Mytilus edulis: one gene and its partners. The protein of the gene in region 1 interacts with the protein of each later gene in a biochemical or structural test. Links are inferred from orthologs where the notes say so. Each region holds a gene or a part of one and is shown on either strand. Other genes may lie near its edges. The genes, in order: serine-protein kinase ATM-like, serine/threonine-protein kinase Chk1-like, cAMP-responsive element modulator-like and serine/threonine-protein kinase ATR-like.

Region 1 (7,436 bases):
GAGAACAAAATCAGTGTTTTAATTTGATTGTAGATGTTTTTGTTTTAATGTTTTCAATTAACCATAAGTATAATTTATTAATTTCAAATTTGCCCATTGAATTATTTTAAGGATACTCCAATGCATTATTTGGCTTTTCTGGTTCTTCATACAACCCAACCAAAACTGAAAAAGAAAATGATAATTCATAAATTACATAATACTGATACTACATAAATTTATCAAACAGAAATACTTAAAATATGTGTGAAGTATGGAAATAATAGAAAGACCATAAAAAGACATTACAACTGTCAAACATAATAGCGTCTTTGTGTTTGCTGCCTTCTATAACATGCAGTATAAACATGAAAAAAGATTTCAACCATTTTTTTCTGAATGTGTAATTCAGAATTCTTTTACTACTGAAAATTATGACATCTCTGCTTCATAATGGACCTTGAGAAAAAATTATTAAAAACTCTGAGATATTTCTTGTCATATGATACATGTACATTTGTACCTAATAGTGTACTTGCAGTTCCTTCACACCATGCATCATCATTACCAATTTTCCACTTATTACTTTTGCCATTTTTTTCAACAGCTTGACTCTTAATTATTGATTGATATTATGAGTCCAATCCATTTTACTTTTACTAAATAACATATGTAAACTTAACAGATTTTAAATTGGTTTTTATAATGACTAGTCTTAAGCATACACATGCATATTGAAATAACAAAAAAAATAAGTATGTATTAATCTAAAAGACCACTTTTAAGTTCATCCTTCGCCGGAAAAAACTTGTCAATTATACGCGCCTTTATGACGTCATTTAACAGATAGAGGGGTCGCCTGTATCCCTGCACCATTTACGTTCATCAAGCGTCTTAGTGATCGTCATAGTGCATGATAAACTACAAATAATGGTTGGTCTGTAGGTACTTAATGACAATTCCCTAATGACAGCAATGCTGATTGTCAATTTTGAGAATTCAATTTGCCGAATAATTCGTACAATATAGAATTATAGTTTTCCAACTACTCGCTCAACATTGGAATGGAAGTGACGACGCCCCTAAACGCACAAATGACGTTCACTAAAACCAGAGTTTTTGACGGAAATGCATCCAAATCGAAAGTTGTCTATTTATTTTATGCATCATACCTTTTGTTAAGGCATCTAATACACCTGCTTTCTCTAAATATTTTCTGAACTCCTCTCTCTTGCTGTCAGCTCCCTACAGTGTAAATTTTATTTCATAAGTGATCATTGCAAGAAATTTGTAGAAACAAGTCGTCTAGTCTCAAAGGAAACTGTATCATTATTCATGAACTTTTGAATCTTCACCTAAAAACCACCTTCAACATCAGCATGACCATGGTGGCAGTAAAACTATTTTTCTGCATTTATGGTGAAATATAATTTAGAAGAATACATTTTTTAGAAAGGAGAATGTTCACAATAGACTACAAATTTTCATATTAAATAAGTTTTGATATAAATACAAAATAAACTGTACATGTTGACCCAGAGCTATTATCCAGAATTTAAATTAATTCTGATTCATATAATTCCTTGTTTTAGTTTATATATCATTGATCATGTTGATATGCTTTATATATACACAAACTACATGTAGATGTGTCAAAGCGACACGAATGGCCCCATCTCCAAAAATTGAAAAATCTGCAATTTCAATTACACATGTGGACACAAACATGATGGTAGTCTCACATATAAAAGAATCAGCTAAAAATCTGGAGGCGTATAGAAAAAAGTTGTAAACCCTTAATTTTAGAAAAAATTAGCGGAGTGGAACAAAACTTAAACTTGATCTGTAACTCATCATTGTTAGCCACATACCAAAAATCAGCCCAATATCTGAAAGCGTTTAGAAAAAAAGTCTGTATAACAGCGATTTTCAAAATTTTATTAAAGTCCAAAGCCAAAAATTACAGCAAAAATTAGCAGAGCAGCGAAACTTAAACTTGATCTGTAACTTATGAATAACTCACAAACCAAAAAATCATCCCAATATCTGAAAGTGTTTAGAAAAAAAGTCTGTATAACTGTGATTTTCAACAATTTATCAAAGTCCAAAGCCCATAATTTTGTCAAAAATTAGCGAAGCAGAACAAAACTTAAACTTGATCTGTAACTCATCATGGAGAACTTATATTCCAAAGATCAGCCCAATATCTGAAGCGGTTTTCAAAAAAAACTCTGTATAATGGTTTGTTGTGGAATGACGGAATTTTGGAATTTCAGACAGGGGTAAAACTATATGTCCCGACCACTTAGTGGCGGGGCCATAAAAACTAAACTTAAATTCATTAAGTTTGTATTTTTTTTTTAACATTATTTGTTTGAATAAGACTATAAAATTGTGTGATGCTAGATTTGACTTCTAGTTGCTAAACTTGTCTTCTTGTCGCTGCTGTGTCAGAATCTAATGGAGTAATTCTTTCTGTCGAATTATACTTTCAAAATCTAACAGTACACTCAATTGCTATAATTTGTTCAAAACATCCTAAACAATGACTGTCTATACCGTTCGCCACTGATCCAATGTCCCAGACTAGAACAATTCTATTTGGACTAGCAAGTATTTGCAAAACATTGTTCAGACACATAATGAAAAATGGCAAAATATTGGTCTTTTCCGTTAAGTCTTTGGATTAGAAGAAGTAAATGTAGTAGAAGTTGGTAAAGTTTTGGTGCAGACTGATTGACTTGAACATCTTTTCAATTTTGTTGTACTCACAATAAAATTACACATAAAATTGAGAAAGGAAATGGGGAATGATTTAAAAGACAACAACCCAACCATAGAGCAGATAACAGCCAAAGGCCACCAATGAATCTTCAATGTAGCGAGAAACTCCCGCACACGGAGGCGTCCTTCAGCTGGCCCCTTAAAAAATATGTATACTAGTACAGTGAGAATGGACCTCATACTAAACTCTGAATAATACGTAAGAAACTAAAATTAAAAATCATACAGGACTAACAAAGGCCAGAGGCTCCTGACTTGGGACAGGCCCAAAATAGCGGCAGGGTTAAACAGGTCTATGAGATCGTAACCCTTCCCCTATACCTCTATAGTCTTTTACTTTGATTCTGAAAAATTGGAGACCACAACTGACTTTACACTAACAGTGGAGTCCCCACAGCCTGTGATATCGCACATTAGCTGATTTCATCATATCAACACATTAATATAAATAAAATCATTCTTGTTATTGTTTAAGCCTTCTGAAGGGAAAAAAAAAGAATAAAATTGATAAGTTCAAGAGTTCATTAATAACTGCAATTCCTTGATTTACCATATTTGGTCAATTTCCATTAAAAAAATACATCATCAGATAAAATTTGTTTTACCTAAGTCAAATTTAATTATGATATGAAATAATTTTTTGCTCTGCATCCATTGGCATCTTTGGCAGTGTGTTTCACTGTTTGGTTCAAATTCAGCTACATTTAGTAGTATAAAATCTTTCTTTTATTCAAAATAACCTATTTTTGTAAGGCATGCGAGAAATCACCAGACATTGGAGGAACTCTCAGAAAAGGGGATTCCCTAATTTTGGACACACATTACTAAAAATTCTGAGGATGAAACCATACAAACAGAAGATTTTATAAAATAAAAGTATGTTATGAAGTGTTCACACAATTTTATCCAATTTTTGGTTTTATTTGTTGAATGAAGTGAAGTCAAAAGTCTTAGGTGTGCAGATACACCGGACTGCACCGCAACATTAATTTAAGCTGGGATATAACTTCCTTGAATTTGTAAGACATTCCTTTTTTCATAACAAACTTATCCCATTATCTTTTTCTTCTAATTACCAAAACACATCTTTTATACTTTATTCCAATATTTTAACAAGAATAGAATAACAGTCAAACTAATTTGCAATATATGACTTTAAACAGAATTATTCAGAAAAGATTGAAAAATCTGTCCTGGGTCACCTTTAGTTTTTAATTAGTTTTACTGTATTTGATTCAAGTTCGTCCATTGAAACTATACGGTTATTTAAACAGAGAAGAAGACTATTTTACGCCAATTTTGAAATAAAGTATACCCTGTAAGTTGTCATGATGTCTGATGTTGTTCTTCAATCTCGTTTCAAACAGGTCCAGTTAGGAATGGTTGCTATCAAGGTTTCGGTAACATGCGCAGTGACCGGTGAAGAACCTAGATGATAACAGGTCTCAAATAAAACTTTACAATTGTGATAAACGATCAAGTCAAATTTAAAAGTTCAATGAAGATTGGTTTGATGTAAAACTGCGGAAGAAAATAATATGTTTTCTTGTTATAATGTAAAATGCCAAAGTAGTTATCATTTAGTTTGTACGGTCAAACTTAACTTCCGTTTTTCGGAATTTGTAGCTTTATCCATTTGTTTGATGAAAAGACCCGAAAAATGTAGGAAAAAAAATCGTCTGTTTTTGAGTTTTGGAGGCATTTTCAAAATGATTGGTGTTTCTCTAATTATTCAACGGTATTTTAAAAATGAATTACTAAATACTTTAGGTTGCTTTATGACACTGTTAAGATTATTTTCCCCTTTCCTGACATGTATGAAAAAGCAAGAAGAAGAAGGGTCTTTCGGTTTTAAGTCTTTTAAAGAGACAGGCCAGCACTGCCTCAGTCACTGAGTCAGTGCCCTCAATCATTCCTTGACTTATTTTCATTTTTTATTTTTTCTGTTGTCACAGAGTTACAGAGACAATCTCACCCTTCATAAATCAAGTGCAAACTGCTGAATAGATTACACAGGAACAAATTATACTATTACTATTTTGACGGGATACACCTTATCGTTATTTGTCCGCCATTACTGGATATCACACTGGTTCCCGTAAAATTTTGACGTCATAAAATAAAATATCTGAAGCCACAATGGAAAAGTGATTGTTGTATGCGTCAAAAGTTCAAGCGGCTGGTTCAGCCGGCCGATAAGGCTAATAGAGATAAGGTGTATTGCTTCCTTTAGAAAATGTGGTATAGATACTTAGTCAGCCATAAGTGGTTGAGCTAAGGAAGTACTTCTTTAGCCCAGTCGGTTAACACACTGCATTGTAACACAGAGGTCTCGGGGTTCGATTCCAGGTGGAGACAAGCAATTTTGTAATGAAATTCATGCACTCCGGACGCCACGATATAGCCTTTTTGTGCTAATGCGGCGTAAAGCAACCAACAATCAATCATGCTCTCCGGTTACATTGGCGCCCAGCTAAAAAACCCACATAAGTTAGAGAGGAATTCTAGCTAGGGTAATGTGTGTGAGAGTCATAATGGTATGATGACTCGTGAGGTTGGGGAAGTGTGACAGGATTGCTTCCCTTAGAAAATGCGGTAGATATTCTATAAGCGGTTGAGCTAAGGAAGTACTTCTTTAGCTCAATCGGTTAGCACATTGTCTTGTAAGGCAGAGGTCATCGGTTCGAGTCACGGTGGAGACAAGCAATTTTGTAATGAAACTTATGCTCTCCGGTTACAATGTCAATAGGGACAAAATTGGAGTGTTTAATTATGAAAAATGTATTACAAATGGTAAAATGTATCCTCATCTCATGGGTTTTCGTGGTATTAAAAATGCATTGTGACGTCACAATTTCTATTGAAAAAGCATTCATAGTACAAATTCATATTATGTATGAAAACAAATGATCAGACCATAGGCATAGAAGAAAGAGGTTAAAACTTGTAAAATATATGTACTTTAACATGCATGTTCAGCCATATGATCAGATGATATGGGAGGAATTTGCATTAAGAATAATTTTTTTGTCATCTGCTCGATCACTATTTTTTACATCAATGTGGAGATAGAAAAAAAACAATAACCATGATAACCCCCCTGGAAGTGAAATAGTCATTCCCTAACATGGACAAAACTATTTATTAAACTAGTTAAATCATAGAATTTGCACCTCTTTATTTTTGTATGCAGACTTTACATGCACTGAATTTTGCTGGTAAATTATATTCATTTAAAATTATGTGTGCCTTCTAGTTGTTGTGTGTAGCTTTAGTGATTGTGTTTTTTCTTCCCAGTTATAACAAATAGTTATGATACTATACAGTTACAGCTATTCAATTTTAAAGTACACTGTTTTCCATCTATTTTTCTAAGCCAAGGTATAAGAAAATTGTACATGTATGTAAACATATATAATTAACTAAGTTTTATCAACATATCATTTTCTGCTATTGATTATTTATTCCAAAACCAATGCTGAGAGAGAAAGCAGATATCACAATTGATGGATATATTTATTTGTCCCTCATAGTTATAAGTTTTACTTGTATTTCTTTGCTTTGTGGTTTAAGCTATAAGCTGTTACTCTTTATAAACAAATTTATAGAGCTTGCTCACTGAATGTTTTTCAATTATAAAAAAAAAATATTTTAATAACTTGGTAATAATCTTAACCATTTATTTCAATTTAGAATTGCATATCATTAACATGAAAAAATGGATAGCTTATCAGATGTGATTTCCTGCTGTCGTGGACTGTTGTTAGAAAAAATAACAGAAAGAAAGGTTTGTATCTTTTTATACAACAACTATATTATGTTTGTAAATCTTTTTTTTTGAATTAACTGAACCCTAAGTTATTTCAAAAAGTGTGATATCCCAACTCCCAGTGATAGGTAAATTGAGGGGCACCACACCTCTAAATTGAACGAAAGGTTCATAAACTAGGATTTTTTTAATGAAATAGACCAGAATACACAGCCATACTCAGTGCAAGTTACATTTGATTTCACACTCATCAATTGAAACAAAATGCTGGGGTAAAGCATTGTTTTCCACTGTAAGTCCACATAATATAATGAAGGATGAACACATGATGTCACCCCCAGTTAACTCCACCTTCTGTTTGTAAACTATATTATTCAGGGTGTTAGTACCTACAAGAAAGGTGTTTATGTTATAAATTAGGATTGTTATTTCTACAAGATAGGTGTTTATGTTATAAATTAGGATTGTTATTTCTACAAGAAAGGTGTTTATGTTATAAATTAGGATTGTTATTTCCTTTAACTTCTTTACAAATGACCTGGTTTGGTTTCATTATTTTAGAAAAGTGCAGAGAAATTTCGTCAGTTACTGTGTAAGAGTACTGTTATCAAAGCGTTGGATAGATATACAGACAGTAAGAATGCTGGAAGTTCTGATGAACAGTTAACTTGGGATTATGTCTTCAAAGTAAGTAAATCAATGAGACTTGAAGGAGGAGAAGTTATAAGACTCAACATAATAAAATTTAGTTATTATATTATATTGTTTTCCTAGCTTTTGGAAAATTAAAACTTTTATTTCTCATGTAAAGTGCATTTTGATTTTCAATACTTATCAAAACCTATGGATTGAAAGTGTATTCTTTAGAACCATATATGATACATTTTGTTATGTGCATCTTGTA
Region 2 (6,880 bases), on another chromosome or scaffold:
CAAATTCATAGATGTTATCTGGTTGATTTCTCAAAACTTCACGTGCAAGCCCTTCTAAAACATTTTGAAATCCTTTCGGAACGCGAAGTTTTGTGTTTGAAAATGGAACTGCCATGTTTTTCTTGTAAATCTGACTGAACAATCACCAGCAATCTATTGCTCTAGTTGGCAGTGGAGAAATGTGTGTATAGTTTGGCGCCTGTCGTCATAACAATGTACATTCTAAATTTCAACTCAACTCGGACAACACGGAATTAGTTGCTTCAGGTCTGTCTGAAAACCAATAAAATGTTAATTCTAACAAATTTATACGTTTTTTTTGTTATTAATTTCAACAGAGACATATAATACATTGTATTATATGTCTCTGATTTCAAGAACGTAAATGTTAGTCGATGAGGGGGTTTTTAACGACATTGACTACCTATGAGGGTCTTGCGTGGTCGGTCAAAATATGTTACGTCTATTCAACTAAAAAAAGGGGGATTCTAATAAATCAGTGTTAGTGTTTTGATCCCAAATTAAAAGAAGAAATAAAAAATTTTGATCAAACAGATGACAAAAAAATATTTTGAATCTAGATTTTCTCCATTCCTTTTAGTGTTTATGTCGGTTAAATATGGTGAGAAAAAATATTTGATTGATAGAATATGCAAATCTGTTTGCGCTTAGTGCCATACACCACCCCCTTTTATATTGAAGAATAAGAACTCCAAAAGAAATTAAGGACATTCGTTCAGCAACAAAAAGATGATTCTAGACCTATATCAAACACTTAGAAAAGTGAGCGAACAAATGTAACTAAATCATTAATAACAAGTAAAATATCAAAAATCATGACCAAACTGTTCTCCAAGAAAAATTCAAATCATAAATGTTGTAGAAAACAAATAAAAAATCTAAAAACACACAAGGCTGCTGGACCAGACAACATCAAACCAATTGTACTGATAGAACTAACCAGTGAAATAGCCCCGATCTTAAACATCATTTACAATTTTTCGATCATGACTGAGCAATATTAAGACCAATGGAAGTATAAGTGCTGATTTATACAAATTGAATGTTTATGTAAACCAACTTTGTAGACTTTAAACTTCATTGAAAGATCGATTCGATAAGTTGCTGTGCCCCACCTGTATAGATGACAGTCACACTTAACAATAGTGGGAAATAACCCATTTAACGTACACATCCTTACAAGTATGGCATACTGGGATGACTACAGCCAATGCGAAGGATATCTGATCCAACCAGAAAAAAGTGTTATGTTTACCAGTTAAAACCAACTACAAATAACATTAGCGGAAGATACTTGGTAAAAAACCAATGCCTAGTATTGTGACCAAAACATATCACTTCGGTATGCAAAGCGATACTCATGAGTGATTCAACTAGAAGTACTTTTAAGAAGAAAATCTAAAAAAAAAAACCAACAGAAGATCATTACATACATTTAGCTTGTATATAATATGTCTCTTTTGTAATGTATGCAGGATTGCATGGGGAAAATAGTCTAAACCCAGTGACCGCAATATGTATGCTACAAGAATTTATATTTCCGATTATGTTTTATGTCTTAGAAATTTTATTACTAAAAAATCTAAAACCACTGTCAAAACAATATAAGAGAAAAATCAAGCAAATCTTTAATTTCTCTTCCCTTCAATGTAGCTTACCAAGCAATTAACCTAATATCTAGATTACTATCAACCGAAGCAGTCATACAAAAATTACAACAAGACAACTGGGACGTACACATAAAAAGTGAAAGAGATGTTTTAACAAAGCTATATACGAGATGGTATAATACCTCCTTCATGTGTAAGACGAATGATGAAACCGAGAATCACTTCCTGTTGATATGTGAGCTGCTGGTATATATGTAAGGAACTAGATTGATACGAAACCACTCACTAGTCAATCCGTATGTCTAATGCACACAGCTCTCATATCAGAAATTGATACTATAAATCAAAACAGTTGTGTAGACACTTGTACTATTAGCTTAGTTGCATGTGAGACGATGTCAGAAGCTGGAAATCATAAAATCACAAAGAAGTCTATAAATTGTGAAATAACATTCCTTGAAATGAAATTGTCATGATCGCATCTGGGTATTATCCAGTTTCCAATATTTATAATTTTTTTCAAAAGTATATAAATTATCTTCGTTTGATTATAATCCTTGTGATACTGATTTATTAAGAATAGATATTAGAGACATTCTTCTTGACAGACATTCGTTTTCTCGTTTGAATTGTTTTACATTGTCATTTCGTGGCCTTTTATAGCTAACTATGCGGTGTGGGCTTTGCTCATTGTTGAATGCCGTACAGTGACCTATAGTTGTTATATTCTGTGTCATTTTGGTCTCTAGTGGAGAGTTGTCTCATTGGCAATCATACAGTGGCGGATCCATAGCCAGAAATTAGTAGTGGTTTTGCTAATTAATATTCATAATATGTAAATGAGAATTGTACCACGTGATAGTACTTTGAACTGGACTGGCTTGATAGGCTTGATATCATTAAAATCTTTAAAACACGGATATTATAAGTTGCCCGTCAGAGAGTCCTTATTTACAATCACTTTGATATTTCCGTAAAGTTGTCAGGCGGTCAAAATCAAAACAATGAACGCGAATTTAGTGAATTTTTCGTGCTTTCGTGAGTTTATTCTTCTTGAAATAGTGACATTTTAATTTTACGTGGGAACCTAAAGTTCAATGACTACACATACAAGGTTTGGACTTGCTTATTCTTTGGAAATTCAAGTTTCATATTTCACCCCGGCAACCTGTTTTTGTAATGACCTTGTAAGCCAATTTTCAACACGAAGTTTGCAAATTTGACGTTTCAGCCATTTTAGCCTGTATTTTACACTGCAATGTTAAAAGCCTCTCGCTTCGATTTTTAAAATAGCTCAGGAACCTGTAATTTTGCAACAACAGTCATTATGTTTCGTTTAAATTGTGTATATTGTTGTGTATATTCATTTTCTGCCCGGGCAACCTGTCTATCACTTAAATTAAAATTAAAACAGACATTTTTTTCAAAATTCCCTATCATTTTAATGTAATTTCCGTGACCCGTATCCGATTTCTTTAGTATAATATTCAAATAAGCAAAGTGGCGTTGATTTCTGGATATGCCGGACATTTAAAAAAAAAGGGGGGGGGGGTTCCAACCCCGGACCCCCTGGATCCGCCACTGATCATACCACATCTTCTTTATTTTTTATATTCAACAGCTCATAGGGTCATTTACCAAAATCTAAGCAACTTCTAGATTTCTTTTCTTTTGATTTGAGACCCAAATAATACCAATGCAAATATATGATAAAAGAACAAGTCAGTCTTTTCCCGCCATTGAAAAAAATATCTGGAGAAACAGTCACATAACCTATCAATATTTTTAGCTTGTTTTGTTCCTTACTGAGTGAACTAATGATCTTCTCAGGACCAAAACAGGGACTTTCCAGCTATGTTAGTTAAAAAAGTCAATGACTTAAAGTATCAATTTTATATTCTTGATCTTAATAATTTCACATAAGTTCATCCTTAAGTAGCAGTTATTTTTTAAAGACATGCTGAGACTATTATATTATAGTACAGGGACTTTCTATTCTATTAGTATAGAAAGTCCCTGTTTATCAGTATAATAGTCCCAGGGACACGGAAAACTTTTTTTTTATATCTTTCTTGACCCTTCAATTTTTTAAATCAATAAGGTTTCACCAACTTATTTAAGCCCTTACTTGTTTGTTTGTTTGTTTGTTTGTTTAAAAAACTGTCAACATTATAACCCTTCCCTGCACTCTTTTTATGTTTATTATTTTGGTTTTCAGATTACCCTCCTTTAACCGGAAAAGAATCAAAATCCAGAAATGGTTCTAAAATTAGAATCCATATCGGCGGTAAAAACAAAAACAGAAAAATGTGACTTGAGATTTGGTCTGTGTACTCTGATTCTAAGCAATTCTAATATACATCTGACACCTTATGTTTTACTTATGGTAAGATAAAAGTTTACCTGACTTTGTTAATTGAGTGCAGTCATACAGCAAAACACCTTAATATTTCCACACCAATTTATCATCAGATTATGACAGATATAAAACATCATTATGATTCATGGGACACTCATACACCACCTCAATACTAGCCAGTTATTAGATCTTATAAATAAATAAGCTTTATTAAGAGTCGGCATAGTTGTACAAACAAGGACATGCTCTTGTGAGTTTTTAACCTCTTAATTTTCTAATTTGCAAAACAATTTTATGGTTCCATATCAAATATTGATAAACAAATGTACATGTAGATTTAAGGGCATACGATACAGTTACAGGGGAGGTAATGAAGTTGCTGACGTAAATTGTTATTTTCACGACGTCAAACTATGACTTATCGGGAAAAGATTCAGTTTTTGACAGATTTTTATCATTCAAACTTATTTAACTTGAAAACAAGTTTATGAACCCCTCTTTTTTAAAATGCCATTTGGTTTGATTATGCGAGGGGGTTATGTGTGCCAATTTTCATGAAAATGTAAATAGTGCAATTTTTTTAAACTTAAAAAAAATGATGTTTTTTCTTCATTCATGAACATTTGATAAATATGAGTTATTTTCTGAATAAAAAATGTATAAATTTAATTTTAGGGTACTTATAAAATACAGAAATTACAAATTATTTATCTAAAAGCAATTTGTGTTTATCTTTTAAAACAAAAAAGTTTTGTTTTTCTTTGGAAAGGGAAAATACGACCACAAATCCGAATTTTGAGCAAATATCAGTGATTTTGCTAGCGCTCGTCACTTTCGTATTTTACGAAAAGGTTTTCGAAATGACGAAAATATTTCATATCAATTTCGTCACTTAAATTTGGAAAGTGTAAAAATATTTACACATCAAATTACTTGAATTCTACCTGTCTTTATGTTTCTGACAAGTTTATGACCCTCAGGTAATTAACGTTTACCAAAGGTGTTAAAAGTTGTGATGACAAGTAATCCGCCTATCGCCAATCAGATGGGTCACTAATCCCTTAATTATCATTATAAAACCTCATAAATGACCATCATAATAATGTATTTCAGTTAAATCAGTCAGTCAGCATTTCATTTTAATCATTTCTCACAGTTCAGTCGTATTTTCGTCATTTGAACATCCCGGACATTTCAACTTTATTTTTATTTCAATATTTTCCTTACGATCATAATTTGCAGTTTGCTTGTCGTAGTTTCGTCATTTCAACGTATTTTCGTCATACTTTATATAAATATTCATCAAAAACTTTCGACAACTTCGATTAAAAAGAATGAACTTTATTCAAAACGTAAATATTTTCACTTGCAAACAGGTGCTTCCTGTTCTATGCATTGCGCATGTGTAAAAGTTCGTAGATGAATCCGGTTTTATTCTGAAATTATTATTCAATTGTCACTTCCCGTTTTCATTTCATTTCGTTTAAAAATCGAAAGTAAACGTGCTCTACAGTCTACAGTCATTAGAATCGTCACATTAAGTTTAGATGCAGATCCTTCTATCCAATAATAAAGAAATTGATTCCAAATAGATATTAAAACGTATTTTCAAGGATATAATTGATTGTGAAGTGAAAAGTCGTTAGAAGTTCATTTGTGCAGTGGTTAAAAAATAGAGGCACCCAACTTTTGTTGATTCTTGTAAGGGGTGTGCCCTGAAAATAACTGAATTGAAGTTTTGACCATATTACCAGATCCCTGTTCTTATCTTCATATCTTAGCATCACATTAGTCAATTCATTCAATATTGCCAATAACTGCCTACATTAGCAATCCTAAAGTCTTCAAAGATCCTAGACTAGTCCTTGAAGGACTTGGACATATATGTATAGCTAGTTTGATAAACATCCTAGATCCCTTGCTTTATAAAAAAATAAGGCTGATTTTTCACGCGCAAAAGTGACTAAAGCCCTCAAAATCCTAGCTGAAACCCTGCAAATATATACAAAATTTCGACCTCATTTTACTCAACCTGATTTTTAGTGCCATGCCCATAGTGGTCAGTACTGGAAAGGACTGTCAGGTTTTCAGAAAACTAGTGACTTAAGACGTACACTCTGTCATGTTTCTAGCATGTCTAGTATGAGTTTCTTACAAAGTATTTTCAAAATGATATCTTTTATCACATGTATGTAACACAACAAATAACATTTTACTTTGTAGACAGATACATGTAATGTCATGATCCAATGACAGAAGTAACAGCATTTGTAGAAGGTTGGGACTTTGTCCAGACACTCGGAGAGGGAGCATATGGAGAGTATGTACAGAACTTAACAATTGTAGAACATGTAGACACTTACCATGTTTACAGCAATGCAATACTATCTTTTAAAATAAAAATCCACAGAACAATGCACACAAAAATTGATAATATAAAAAAGAAGATGTGGTATGATTGCCAATGAGACAACTATCCACAAAAGACCAAAATGACACAGACATTAACAACTATAGGTCACCGTACGGCCTTCAACAATGAGCAAAGCCCATACCGCATAGTCAGCTATAAAAGGCCCCAATAAGACAATGTAAAACAATTCAAACAAGAAAACTAACGGCCTTATTTATGTAAAAAAATGAAACCCATTTTTCTATTGTAATTTGTATGCATATTTATCTCAAAGATTGGGTACTGATCAATCAGACTTTTTGTTATATCAATTTGTGACTCTCTTATAACTCTTTAACTTATAGTTATTTTGTGTCAACATAGTATACATGCAGTTGTAATTTCAGAGTTAAACTTGCAGTAAATACTGATACCCAGGAAGCTGTAGCTGTTAAAATTATAAACCTAGAGAAAACAGCATCTGCAGCAGAAAATGTC
Region 3 (7,442 bases), on another chromosome or scaffold:
CTAAATGAAAGTTAATTTTCGCGCTAAAATACATTTAAAGTGCCATGCGCGATATGAACTGGTCAGTCCAATACGACAGTTAAGAAAGACGTTCACAAAACATGGAGCTCATATTATATGATTCTATGAGAACAAGAAAGGCAACAGCGTTGTTTCTATTAATTCAAATGGAACAAGAAGATCAGCTATTACAGGCTCAGGGTTTACTTTTACAAGTAAAATATTATTTTTTGTCAATTTTTTATATCAAGTAACATAATTAAAGGTGACAAATAATTTAGAGTTTTTAATTTATATTAGACAATGTCGGAACATATTCAATTTCTTCTATTCACAACAACAACACGAAAAGACAAAAACGTTAGTTATGATAAGAGCGATATGTTCAGGCCTTTTCCATCTGGATTGTTTCATATCATTACATGCTGGGGTTCCTTTAAATAAACGCGCCTCGTACACAAACACTGCAGGTACACGTATATAGGGAAACCAACTTTTTATTTATTATTCTGATTTTTTATGTATCGTCTGAGTTGTTGTCACACGAATGTTTACTCCATAACCATTTTGTTTTCTATATGTCATATTTTGCAGCCTTTGTTGCTTTCACCACATCCTTCCTTTTGTCTATATTATTGTGATATTCTCCTGGAAAGAGCTCTTTTTGAATAAAAGGGATCAACGAACCCATTACCTTACCTTTAAGACAGATCAGTAAACATGGGCATAATTATGGGTGATTATTCAGACTAGTGCACACATTTTACAGTTCAAACAAGGCAATGCCGAGCGTGGCATCCCCTCGTATGTAACATATTGGGGACAAATATGGACACTGTATTTGTATATATGACACATGCAGAAAATGGTAAATTGAATATGCATATTTGATAAATAAACTATTTTTTTAGAAATCAACCAAAACATTTAGTACCTGGAAATACCTTTAATATTGTCTTTAGAACCAGCAGGTAAAAAAATGAGCAACCAATTTCCTGGGTATTATGCTATTTCAAGGAGAAAAAAACAAGTCCATCTACATGACCTTGACCTTTGGCCTTGAACGTAAAAAATGTCAGATCATTACAAGGAGGAACAATATACCAAATGTGGTTAAAATCTTTTGAAGCATATTAGTTTTAGAGTGTCCACAAGGGGGATATTGCCTTGTATTACAACTGCCACTGTGACCTTGACCTTTGAACTTTAAAGTCAATAGCGCTTAAGATATTCTTAACGAGTAACACCATACCAAGTTTTGAGCATTTTGGTTCCAGAGTGTCCATAACAATTTTATCTACACGCAACTTACATGGAGTAGGCGAGGGGATAATAAACTAAGTTTTATAAGAATTAGACAAAAAGATTGAATACCCGCCATGCATGGCAGACTTGTACAGGAACGATATGTTGTCGAAATTCTGTTCGTATTTTTTAGACATCGTATGGCCATCGCGCCATCATCGTAATCCATCGTGTAGCCTTCGTAATCCATCGTGTAGCCTTCGTGATCAATCGTGTAGGCTACGGCTGAGATATGAAGCTTAAATACCCGTCTTCGGCTAACCTTCGTATGTCCATCTTTTGCTATCGTATACAATTTCGGCACCATCGTATAAACTTCGTTATTCGTCGTACTTGCTTCGGTCACTTTTTGGTATTTTAACGAGATCGGGACCAACTTCGTACGAACTTACAATTTCAGCATTCGGGTGTCCATCGTATATAAAAATCGGGACAGTGTGACGCGGGCATTACAGACAAACGTTCACGTAAATTGTCCCAGTCAATGGATGATTTTTAATGTGTCAAACAATGGCCACAGCCACACTGTTTTTATTTTTATTCTATGTTATCATTCGACATTTAATGCTTATTTCCAATGGGTATCGTCCGGTTTTACCGTACCCAATCATGGTTGGGGTAGATCTCTTGAGGTGTAGTAAATGCTTTAAAAATTTGAGATGAACTTGTTCAATAATGTGTTTTTTTCCAAATCCCCATACTTCACATCCGTATAGAAGAATTGGTTTCATCAGTTTGTCAAATAACTCTAATTGGCATTCAATTGATAAATTACACTGCCTCCCTTTTTTGATAACGTTGTACATAGCTTTTGTTGCTTTTTCTGATAGTCTTTTCTTTGCTTTATTGAAAGATCCGGATCTTGTTAACAATAGTCCAAGGTAGTTAAATTCTTTCACTATTTCAATTTCATTTTCTTCATAAATGAAATTAATATTATTAGGCTGTCTTCCTTTAGAGAAAATTAAAACTTTATAGTCTTAGATGTATTTACTTTAAGTTTCCAAGTATCACCATATTCACCGAAGCAATTTAATTGCATTTGAAGGTCTTCCTTTGTTTCTGACATTAGAACAGTATCATCGGCATATAATAAAACGAACAGCTTTAAATAGATATTGAGGCTAGTTTCAGGGGAGTTCGATATTGATGACAAACCTTTCACATTATGTGATAGAAAAAAAAAGTGAGGTCATTAATTGATATATAACGAGAATAATAGAGAGGAAAGATTTTCCCCTTGTCTAACTCCAGTGTTACATGGGGAAAAAATCAGATTTTTGATTATTGTATATAACTCTTGATTTTATATTGTTGTACATACTATGTATTAATTAATGTATGCATTGTTCCATCAATGTGATTCAATGCCATCTCCAAACTGTGTCGAACGCCTTAGCAAAATCAATAAAAACACAGAATAACTTTTTCTTTTGCGATCTAGTTAGGTCGAAGAGACTTTGTAATATAAACATGTTATCTGTTGTTGAATATTTTTTCCTAAAGCCACTTTGATTGTTATGTATTATTGAAAAGTTTTCAAAATATTTCGTTAATCGTTCATTTAGGATGGACGTAAACAGTTTTCCAAAACAGCTAAGAATAGTGATTGGTCTATAATTTTGCGGATCTTGTTGATTTCCTTTATTTTTAAATAAAGAATGTATATTTCCAGATAACCAACTGTCTGGTATGATTCCTGTATCAAATATAAGATTGAATAACTTTACAAAGATATTAACGATTTCTGTTGAAGCACACCGTGACGTAGCTTTGAAGAATTCGTTTATAATCAGGTCATCACCGCTTGCCTTGTTATTTTTCAAGATTTTTTATATTTCTTATTATTTCATCGGGCGTAATCATTTCATTTAATAAATTATTTTCGATATTTCTTTCAATCTCTTCGTAGTTTAGCTCTTGTTCTTCTTCTATATTTCCTTGATTTAAATTTTTGAAGAAATCATAAAGTTTTTCAATGAAATATTAGGTTGTTTCTTCCTAGAGCCTCCATTTAGAATTTTCCAGTACTCTTTTGAGTTCGTGTTTTTCATATTTTTCATATCATTTCGCACATTTTTCCTATACTTTTTTATATTTCTGTTCATGGTATTTTTGTATTGTCTTTCACTGCGTTTCATATTCATGGTTTACAATGAATTTGTTTAATTTATATTTTCTTCTGTATTTTCTCGCATTTTCCCTAGCAATTCTACAATCTATGTTAAACCATGGTTTTTCATCTTGTGATCTTGTACTCTGAGGGGTATTTTCGTTCTTTGACTTGTTTTTTAATGTTCCGCATGTTTTCTTTGCAGAAGTAACAAATATGTTCGTAATATTTTCTACAGCTTTGTTAATAATGTTTGAATCAGCATGAAAAGATTTGGTTTCTTCAAGATAATTTTCTAATTCAGAAATCTTTTCTCTGTTTAAATTTATAATAAAATCTTCTTTCTTGTTTATATCCCATTTCTTTATTTTCTCTCCGCTCATCGAATTAATCGGCACAGATCCATATTCACATGTACATTTATATATGTCGACATCTATATCTATAGGGCTGTGGATATCGGAATCATATAAACAACTAAAATCTAAAACTTTCGAATTTGAGGCAATTAATTAATTACTATAGTAATTAGAGTAATTATAAGATAAGAAAATGATTTGTAGCCTATAGTTGGATAAGACAATATCAATTTCATTAACAAATTTTGGCCCCCTGGGGATCATAAAGATTTTAACAAAAAATGAAAATCCAATAAATGACAGAATACATATCAAATTACATAATATAGGACTCCCCGTGAGACACCCGTGTATTTCGGGTGACAGTACTTTGAATCTTTCCTGGCGAATTACTAAATACCAAACCAGCTAACTACGCCGCAATAATAAAAACACATGAAACGTTGAAATTGAAATTTATGTATAAACCAACAGATTGTTAATTATTAAATTTGAAAGAAAAATAATTCTTTAAAAAGTAATTTATCAAATTCAGTTTGAATTTAATCAAATTTTATACCCGCAAGATACAAAAAAGTAGTACGGTCTATATTTGGACAGTATGACGTCATGTGAGATAAGTTAACCAATCAGGTATCGTGCAATAGGAAATCCACGCGGATGAATATATTATTCAGCAGTTTTGTTGTTCCTGATTGTGACGCTGCAGCCAGATTTTGACGTGGCGACTACGTATTCTGCAAATTTATCCACTCCGATTACTGCAAAATTGGTGACGAAAAGTACGTAACAAGTAAGTACTCCACTGACGAAACAAAACAAACAAGTTGATAACAGAGAATACGCTTATCTTCGGAGGGGATCATTATTTTCAAAACGATCAAATCAAATTTTTGAATGTGATTTATATCACAAAAGGAACTTTGTGAGAGCAACAACAGCTGACTCAGAAGATTAACCGGAAGAAGCAGATTGTTGATGTACCTTGTCCCACTCTGGAAATCGGACTTTTCAACAAGTAAAAATAGAACAGGAGAATGCAGAGAGAATATGGGTCAGTTTCACTAAGCAAAATGTCAGAGAAGCAACTCAGCATATTTTACTCGACATCAAATCTAAAATGCATTACCCAGTTATATTTCAGTTCAAAATAAAGAGTAAACAGATCTAAACAGTATAGTTTATTGTTTATATCATGTTTATAATGGTATACATTATATGATTATTATTAGACTACTTATATTTGTCAAATTTAACATAAAATAAAATCATAATTTGTTGTCCTGCAAAAATTGTCCAATCTGACATCAAACATGCTTCTTCTTTCTTCTCTTCTTCTTTAGTTAGGGAATACCATCAACTTTTTGAGGATTACTTTCCGGCGCATGCCTGTATGAGGTTGATTTAGTGCACACCACTATCACCAGCCATGACATTACTGTGTTATTTGTAAAGGTCTTATTGACAATTGGAAAATCAATGACATTGAGCCATTGGAATTGACTCTTAAATACTCTTTTCTTTTTATGGCATTATTTTCTCTTGCGATAAAAAACTGATTATAGAATTTTACGGGAACATCAGTGGTCGACAATAAGCTATTCTGTTGGTCCCATAAGTACACCAAATTACTTCAAAGTGCAAATATTTCTCACCACTATTATTTGTCCATCCATTACTGGTCATGCAAACATTCCAGTCAAAAGAGATGTTTTGATGCAACAAAACAGGAGGAACATGTACATTTATGACATCAATACATTTAGTTCAAGTGTTTCAGAGTCTAATTTAGCTATAAGGTCTTTAGACATTATTTCTATTTGGAAATCTGCTACACTGGATTTTAAACTGTCATACAACAATCCCTTTAAAAATTTTCCATTTTGTGGCAACCTTTTTAAAATTTTAATGTCCAGTATAATTGGCAGACAAATAATGATAAGATCATATATTTGGTTCAATGCATAAATCTTAAAATCAGTCGTCATGTTAGAATTTGTCATCAAAATCCTCAGAATTTATTCCCCTTGATTGTGTATCAGATTTTACCTCTTTTCATTAGTGGGGCGATTTGTCATGCTTCTCAATTTATTCATATTATTTTTTTAAATGTATACTGGTAAGCACTTCTGCAATTAAACAATATAAATACTACTAAGTCTATTTTGGTCCACTGACTGCCTAAGAGGGGACCTCCTCCCATCATGTTTCAGTGATTCCCTGTATTACCAACCAAAAGGGGGGGGGGGGGGGATTGCGAAATTGTGACATACATGTACAACAATATTGTGCCTCTTTTCCATAGAAATTAATATTGTTTAGTAATCTTGTGTGTACATTAATTTGACATTTCTTGTAGGATAAATATATTTTAGTTATTACTCTTAAACAGATAAATTATATGCGTTGGTGATTATATTAAACAATGGAATTGGAAAACTGTTCTCTTATTCCAATTTCATGAGCTGTAAATCATTATCTGGTTATTAATTGATACTATTAATGATATCTTATATAATTTGCATACATGTTTGTCAAGCTATTGTAGTATAAAAACAGCACTCTAAAAGTTGGTCAGGTGATTTCTTCCATGTCCATTGCAACCTTCACTGGTTTCAGCACAAATTGTTTTTGATCCCAGACTAGGTGATGTGTGATTCATTAAAGTTGTGTGTAACTACAACAGATGACAGTTTTATAGTTGGGTGCATACAATGTAATTTAAATTACCACCATATGCATGTACCAGTTTTATAGTTGGGTGCATACAATGTAATTACCACCATATACCAGTATACATTGTATATTTTGTCAAATGCTAGATTCTTTTCATTAAAATACACGTTTATACTTATGTTTGTGTAATGTATGTTATGTGTTGGCAGCTGGTCAAATGTATGTATGTGTTAATACTGTTACAAATACAAATACTTCATTTGAAACTGAAAAAGATGGTCTTTTTTCTATTCATTCTATTTGGAGTATGTGATAGAATATTTCTCTTGTTCTTGTGGCACTGTGCCACAAGAGAAATATTCTATCACATACGGGTGGGCACTCTGATTTATCTTAGTTTCATTATTATATTTTTCAGAGTCCGTAAGAGATGACAGAGGTACATCCATCTCATCATGCTCATGGAGACCTGGATACTTCCCAAGGCTTATCTGTTGTACAGATGTCCATGAATACACCAATCCAAGTACAGTCCGTTATACACCCAAATCAACCCTCAGTCATTCAAACAGCTGGACCTAATGTACAGACTATACAGGTTGTAAGGGTAAGTTTTAATCCAACAGACTAGAAAGGGAAAGATATTTTTAAAATGGATGTACAAATGTACATGGTAAAACAATGAAGAAGGATTCTAATGCAACAACGTTTGTAACGTTCTTTTTGATTGGATATCGTCACTTTCTTACATGGCATCAATTGACAATTGATGCTATGGGACGTACGCACAAGCGCAGACGGCATATGACAGTTTTTAAATACATGTTTTAACGTTGTTTTCTGTCAGTTTCATTAGAATGGAGATAACAATATTGTATTTTAAGCTCCGACGGCATCAATTTGGGATTTGATGGTTGCAAACACCCGTTTATTGTCTCCGCTAACGCGTCACCAGTAAACTTAATTTGCGACCATCAAATCCCCAATTG
Region 4 (7,169 bases), on another chromosome or scaffold:
AATCTTTAACACCCAACTGATATTGAGTGCCTTTAAATCTACTTTCTAATGTGTGTTGTTTTGTTCTTGAACTACTTCTCTTTGTATTGCTTTTCAACTGACTTGCCTCTGATGGATGTTCTACCCATAATGCTTTTCTATCATTACTTTTGACATCAAGATCTACACCCGGCAATGTAGATACAGGAACTCCTAAATAGATCTCAGCAAACTTGGCAAGCTCATCAAAATAGAAGTAATGATGGCCATCAAATTTTCCAACAGGTACAATATAAATTTTACCATCTGGATATTTCTCCAGTATGTTGGTTCCTTCAGGAACAAATCTCTGTTTCAAACTCTTTCTCTTCCTAGATGATATCCACGGACAATCCTGTAGAAACTGTTTGTAGGTTTGTCCTTCCTCATTGTATTGTGCTAACCAGTCATCTATATTTGTAGGTTTAGGAACTGGTTTGAAGAATTCAAAATTGTCATGTTTCAATGCATGGTATTCTAGTGGAACACCACTATCAAAGCCAATAGCCTTGAGTTGTTTATCTTTGTTTGGAGGTCTAAATCCTGATGCATATGGTACATATTTACTGTTCACCTTTGTTTTCTTTATTTTAGGCATCTTCAGTTTCTGCAATTGAAATGGGAGAAATTGCTTATGTTTTATGTTATACAGTAATATAGCATTCCAAAAGCCAAAAGACATGCCTTTTATGATTGACATGTATATGCATTGGTAAAATCTGGTTTGTCATAACACTTTTGTAAAGTTTACCTTTACAGTGCTACTATTATAGTTGTAAACAGAATAAGATTGAGTTATCTCCCATGTAATGTTGTTAAAAGACTATTGTATCTTACTTACATTTTAAATCTGCTCCCAGTCTTGGTAAAAAACAAAAAAATGTGGATTTTAATGGATAAATAGCCTTTTTTTTTTTAAACAATATTAGTATACTAGCACTGCACGTGGTATAGGAGTTCATATAAGAGCTATCAATGGATGAGAAAGGTTCGATTATAAAAAAACCTATCATTTTTGTTATGTTCATATTAACCCTGATGTTCTCTCTCTCACTAACAGTATCATTTTCAATGCTATATTTGACACAAAAGATGATATACTGCTATTGCTCTCAAAATAAAAAATAAAGATGGAAATTCTTTTAATATATAGTACATGTAGCAAACTAAAACAATGTCAATGAAAGTGATAATGATATAGAACAGATTTTAAATTATTTCTACTGGTGCATTTTTTATAAAGTCAATACGTCTAGAAATCCATTCAGCTTCTTCATTCATACCATGATGCTGATAAAATTTGAGGAGATTTTCATATCTTGTTAAAACATTAAATCCCACAAGTGTTTGAAGTTTATGTAAATCCACTGGACATAAATGCATAGGCTGACGAAAATCTTCTTCTAAATGTCCAGAACCATTCATGCAACACTCAAAGAATATGCAATGTCCGATACCCAATAAGTGCCCTATCTCATGCACAAGTAATTTACAACTTCTTTGGAATGTAAGCTTCTGAATATGCTCCTGAGACATACGCTGATTTCTACGAATATTATACCAATAAGCATTGGAAAAAGTTAGTGATGGATCATAACGGAAGAAACTGAATACTGCCACATGATCTCCACCTGCAGCCCAACCAGCAACAAATAAGTCTGATTGTTCTCTGTATAAATCACTCATTGTTAATCCAATCACTGACAAGGCATCTTTGGGAATATTTTGACGAAGCATATATAACAAACTGGCTATTCCTATCTGGTGATGTTTGCCATAGAATCTACTTTCCAAAGCTATATTGCTAGGAGGTATTGAACTCTCACCATTAGATGAGCTTTCCGAAACACTATTTGTCCAATAAACTTTTTTATCTGTGAAATTCACATCAATATCAATTCCATTTAGGATAACAACAGGTATTCCTAAATATATTTCAGCAAAACTTGCTAGTTCATTGAAGTGGATAAAGCCTTTGCCACTAAATTTCCCAATCGGTAAAAGATATATTTTCCCGTCAGGATATTTGTCACCTAGATTTGTACCAGTTGGAATAAACTTCTGATTTATACCATTGACCGGACTTGGTGATAACCATGAGCATGTCGATAAATAGTCAGCATAGGTCTGACCAGGAGCAACATACTGTGCTAACCAATCATCAATACTTGTTGGTGTCGGAATTGGATTGAAACATATAAAATCTTTATCAGGCTGACAATTAAATTCAGGTGGTACAAAACCATCACACCCCACAGCTTCAATGTGTTCTCTGTTGGTAGGAGGAACATAGCCAGAGGCATAAGGTATATACTTCACAGTTTTAGTCCTCTTTGTTCTTACTTTTGGCATTTCTATTGGCATACGATATCCATATATAAGCCACTACAAACAAAATTTATCAAATTAGGACCACAACAACATTATTTATGATTGACATAAACTTTTACATAAACTTGGTGTTCCTAAGAGCTTGTAGATTTTGAAAAAGAGCTGACTATTATGCCGCTACAAGGCAGCAGTCACAAAGTGGAAAGGGATTGATATAAGTTGTCATAACTTATTCAGCTGTTTTAAGTTGTCATAACTTATTCAGCTGTTTAGTTGTCATAACTTATTCAGTTGTTTCCCAATCCACTATAAACTGATAAATAAATATACAATTAAACTGAAAGAAATCAGCATGTTACCAACATAAACAAACTCCTCATTTTCATAGATGTCAAAACTGATACTACTGGTCTGAGACCACAATTGTCGTCCCTTGATTTTTTGATTTTCGTTGTTCACAAATATAGTCCCTAGTGTTGACAGTGGGTAACTTGCCATTAATTTTTATACCCCTTCCAAATTTATTTCTCCATGTTTAATGCCTCAAATTGCAAGTAGGGGGGTGAAATTACACTGTAAAAAAATTTGGGTCCAGAATTTTTAAGGAAAGTAGTGATGTGGTCCAGCTGAAAAAGGTTTAAAATTAGCACTTCGGAAGCTGTCAAAAGATTTCACGACGCCCTATAACATAAAATTGTCCATATTTTGAGTTAGAGCCGATGAAGTTTTCTATAACTTCAGGGATCTCCATGGATGAAAATTGAACCATGGAGGAAATTTCACCATCACAAACCGTGCGTACGCCGTACAGTGAAGCGTGAACAAAGTATACCATCACTCCACATAAGGATTGGTGAACATGCTAACTCATTGCTTATTTAAATTATATTTATTTGAATTTTCATTGTAAATACTATAAAATAGAAGTATAACTTCAAAGGCCAAGCCTTCATGCCCCCCACTTTAGTCGAGAATGACTGTACAAGCTCAGGTACAAGTGATTAGCGATCTTAATCCAGATATCCCTCAGGTGTTAGAACTGTATTGGATTATAATATAAAAAAGCCTGAGGGTTATGCAATTACATGCATTTGATTATAATTGCTAAAAAAAATGGCGTCGGGCTACTAAAACGATAACAGTTTTGAAAGATGGCGGAAGACAATTTAAGGATGGCGCAGGTCATTTGACGATGGCGGAAGACATTTGAACAATGGAGCAGGTCATTTGACGATGGCGCAAGACATTTGAACGATGGCGCCCCGCCGTTCAAATGTCTTGCGCCATTGTTCAAATGTCTTGCGCCATCGTCAAATGACCTGCGACATCGTTAAATTGTCTTCCGCCATCGTGGATCCCTGAATTTTGATATAATTTGTCCCAAAAGTAGTACAACACACTGTTAAAGTTTCTTTGAGAAAGTACAGGTGGGATTTTTTTTATTTTCATTTATGTTGTTAAAGAAATGCACTACGAAATAATTGTGGTCTCGGACCTACTATAAGACATAACCTGATAACTGTGTTATAACTTATAGTAGTCTCGGGTCAAAATGACACAAAAAGGGTACCTTTTCAAGTTTGAAAACAATTAAATTAAAAATTGGAAACAATCTTACGTGTAAATGGTTTAGTGGTTCTTTCGTTTCAATATCATGTTAATTATAACTGTACTGTCACTGTCAGCTGTTTTCTTCAGTGGTTGTGCAATCAAGTTTTCTATGTAAAGGTAAAAATAGTGTCAGAACTGGTACCCTATTTTATTACTCCTTAGCTCTATACGATAATTTAAATTCGGCTACCAGGAAAACTAATTACGGCGGGAAAGTAATTGTTTTTCAGATTCAGCAATAATATAATCAGATAATTTTTTTACACTATAGCTTTTCATCTACTTGAGAGGTAATTTTAAAGATAATACGAGGCAGGCATTACCTGTAAATGGGGACAAAGTCTGTATGAATTATTTTTTTGTAACAATAATTGTTAAAAAAAGGGGATGAACATCTAGGATGTAACTGCATAGCCATAGGACAGTTATTATATTGACTGCATGAACATTAACAATAACCCCAGTTCAAAGGTTTCATCTGTGATAACTTAAACTATAGAGGTAGTTTTGAAAAAAGGCAACAATATCACTGGCCATGTTGTCAAATGAGTGGGCCATTTGTTTACAATAAAAACAATAAAAAAGTGTATAGTTAAGCAAAGAGGTACTGGTAGTGATACACAGGGCTCACGCTACCAGGCGACTTGGGCGAAGAAGTCGCTTTCCCGACCATCACTTCGCTTTCCCTAACCCCCAAAAACAAAAACAAGTCGCCTTGTACTTGACGATATTCGCTTTCAGTCGCTTCTGTCATCGGACATTTTCATTTTTTACCAAGTTGATGAAACATCAATTTTTTATTGATAATTAAAGAAATTCCGACATAAACGATTCATTATCTTAAGAAAAGAGGTTGAAGCATTGTCTTTGCAGTGTGTAGCAGGTTATTTGATAAAAATAAAACTTTTTATCACTTCGTGCATTTCCGCAAGTTCCAGTGATTGTTACTCGAAAACGTACATCAGCCTAAATTTCGGCGGCAAAAAAGTTTGTTACTTCATTTAAACATGATAAAAGTTGCCTCCAGTAAATGTTTAATCCATTTATTGCATTAAAAACGTCATGTTCCTTTCCAAATAACTTGTCAAACATCGTTTATTTTTGTAAATTTTCTTGCAATCGTCCGCCATTGACCGATTTCTAAACTATGGATCTGAACCAGACCAGCTATGACCGAAATCCTTACTTTTACAATAATTACTACGGACCCGCTGGAACAGCTGACAGAAAAATATTGATCCCAAATGGAAAATTTTCTTATTCCACACGCATTGCGAGACTTTTGGTTACATCTTATTGATTGGTGTAAATAATTCCCTATTTTTTTATGGATTGTATCAAACTATTGATTAAAGTTGCTTAACTCAGTCTCTGAGACTATTATACTATCAATATCAATATATTTTGGCACAGCTTTATAACTTTTATATTTTTTTATGAGAAACACAGAATTTCATACACATGATAGTTTTGAATTAAATTGTAATTGATATAGTATAATTTCTTTACATTTTTTAAAATATTTTTTTTTTTTAGTGCTAGTCTAGATATTAAATATTTAGTTGGTAGTTTCTCACAAGAACCTTAGTAAAACTTAAACAACTTTTAATTTGAAATGTTACTTTAATTGTATACTCAGATATGGTTTGAACAATATAACATGATATAAAAAGAACATTATTTACATATGACCCTTTATACTATAGTAAAATCCAAACATTGTAGCACACCGCGCGAATGAGCACTTCTCTTTCAAATCTCACCACTTCTCCCTATCAGTTTCAAAAAGAGAAGTCCCAATAATTCTGAAGTAGTGTGAGCCCTGGATACATGTATGATACATGTACTTACCTTCACAAATTTAAAGTTGTTTATAATAAATTATATCATGAATGATAGTTAATTAAAAAAAAGGGGGGTATACTGTTTTACCTCTGTCTGTCCTTCCGTCAGTCCATCAGTCAGTCCGTCCGTCCCATGAATATTTTTCGTCATATTTTTCTCAGGAACTACACTACCAGGATTTCTGAAATTTCAGGCTTGATATAAGTCAGCTATACTGTGTGGTGCGTTTTCTGATAAATCACTCGACAACTTCCTGTTTACCGAACACTTGTATCATTTTTACACCTGATAGCCAAGTTGAAAATTTGTTCGTCACATTTTTCTCAGGAACTGCACTACCAGGATTTCTGATATTTGGTTTCAGACTTGATATAAGTCAGCTATACTGTGTGATGCGTTTTCAGATTCATCACTCGACAATTTCCTGTTTACCGAACACTTGTATTATTTTACACATGATAACCAAGTTGAAAATTTTTGTCACATTTTTCTCAGGAACTACAATACAAGGATTTCTTAAATTTGGTTTCAGGGTTTATATAAGTCTGCAATACTGTGTGATGCGTTTTCAGATTCATCACTCGACAACTTCCTGTTTACCATGTTTATCGAACACTTGTATGATTTTACATACATGTATAGCCAAGTTGAAAATTTTCGTCACATTTTTCTCAGGAATTACTATACAAGGATTTCTGAAATTTGGTTTCAGGATTTATACAAGTCAGCTATACCGTGTAATGCGTTTTCAGATTCATCACTCAACAACTTTCTGTTTACCGAACACTTGCATATTTTTACACTATTAAAATTATCCACTTGCGGCGGGGGTATCATCAGTGAGCAGTAGTTACCATAAAAAGTTCACTTGTTATATTATACTTTGTTTATTTAAGCACCTTCAGCAGGAATGAAAAACAAATTGATAGCAAAATCTAGATAATTTTTTTATATTCTGAAACTAGAAATGCATTTAGATTATATTAATCTTGGTCCAGCCATGTTCTTGAACTTTTTCAGGCACACAGTTTGTCTGTACTCAAAGTGAAATTTGTGGTGTAAATATGGCCATATTTGAGAAAAGGTTAACTGATGATACTGTCTTTGAAGATAAATAAGGCAGTATCATAAAAATAAAGTTTATTCCCTTGCTTTTAAGTTTAAAACATAAAGAATGGAAAATTAAATTGTAAATAGCAATCATGTACATTCTTACTTAATTTCATGAAAAAGATAATTTTCAATGATCTAAACACACAAATATTATTTCTGGTATATGTGTCTTCCCAATTTCATTATAAATCACATAAAAAAACTCCCAAAATCCCCTAACTCGAATAATTCAAGCCCTTTCCGTGTCCGAT

What was found.
Region 2: of the proteins of serine-protein kinase ATM-like (region 1) and serine/threonine-protein kinase Chk1-like, one has a biochemical effect on the other in vitro, tested with the Homo sapiens proteins (2 studies listed by BioGRID, with this or other methods). The link is inferred for Mytilus edulis from reciprocal best matches to the Homo sapiens genes ATM and CHEK1.
Region 3: of the proteins of serine-protein kinase ATM-like (region 1) and cAMP-responsive element modulator-like, one has a biochemical effect on the other in vitro, tested with the Homo sapiens proteins (2 studies listed by BioGRID). The link is inferred for Mytilus edulis from reciprocal best matches to the Homo sapiens genes ATM and CREB1.
Region 4: of the proteins of serine-protein kinase ATM-like (region 1) and serine/threonine-protein kinase ATR-like, one has a biochemical effect on the other in vitro, tested with the Homo sapiens proteins (2 studies listed by BioGRID, with this or other methods). The link is inferred for Mytilus edulis from reciprocal best matches to the Homo sapiens genes ATM and ATR.

The regions. Positions count from the first base shown.
Region 1 is NC_092353.1:10,605,719-10,613,154, reverse strand, and holds the start of serine-protein kinase ATM-like, read left to right. Parts: upstream 1-4,407; 5' UTR 4,408-4,501; intron 4,502-6,456; 5' UTR 6,457-6,481; coding exon 6,482-6,550; intron 6,551-7,093; coding exon 7,094-7,219; intron 7,220-7,436. Other genes in the region: c-Myc-binding protein-like, read right to left, coding at 117-165, 1,152-1,224, 4,079-4,093.
Region 2 is NC_092348.1:28,491,837-28,498,716, reverse strand, and holds the start of serine/threonine-protein kinase Chk1-like, read left to right. Parts: upstream 1-3,860; 5' UTR 3,861-4,017; intron 4,018-6,213; 5' UTR 6,214-6,239; coding exon 6,240-6,310; intron 6,311-6,789; coding exon 6,790-6,880. Other genes in the region: triadin-like, read right to left, coding at 1-115. UniProt on the Homo sapiens protein: Serine/threonine-protein kinase which is required for checkpoint-mediated cell cycle arrest and activation of DNA repair in response to the presence of DNA damage or unreplicated DNA.
Region 3 is NC_092345.1:72,167,805-72,175,246, reverse strand, and holds the start of cAMP-responsive element modulator-like, read left to right. Parts: upstream 1-4,423; 5' UTR 4,424-4,570; exon of another isoform or gene 4,571-4,831; intron 4,832-6,871; 5' UTR 6,872-6,883; coding exon 6,884-7,060; intron 7,061-7,442.
Region 4 is NC_092347.1:17,916,302-17,923,470, reverse strand, and holds the start of serine/threonine-protein kinase ATR-like, read left to right. Parts: upstream 1-4,144; 5' UTR 4,145-4,250; intron 4,251-7,169. Other genes in the region: archaemetzincin-2-like, read right to left, coding at 1-718. UniProt on the Homo sapiens protein: Serine/threonine protein kinase which activates checkpoint signaling upon genotoxic stresses such as ionizing radiation (IR), ultraviolet light (UV), or DNA replication stalling, thereby acting as a DNA damage sensor.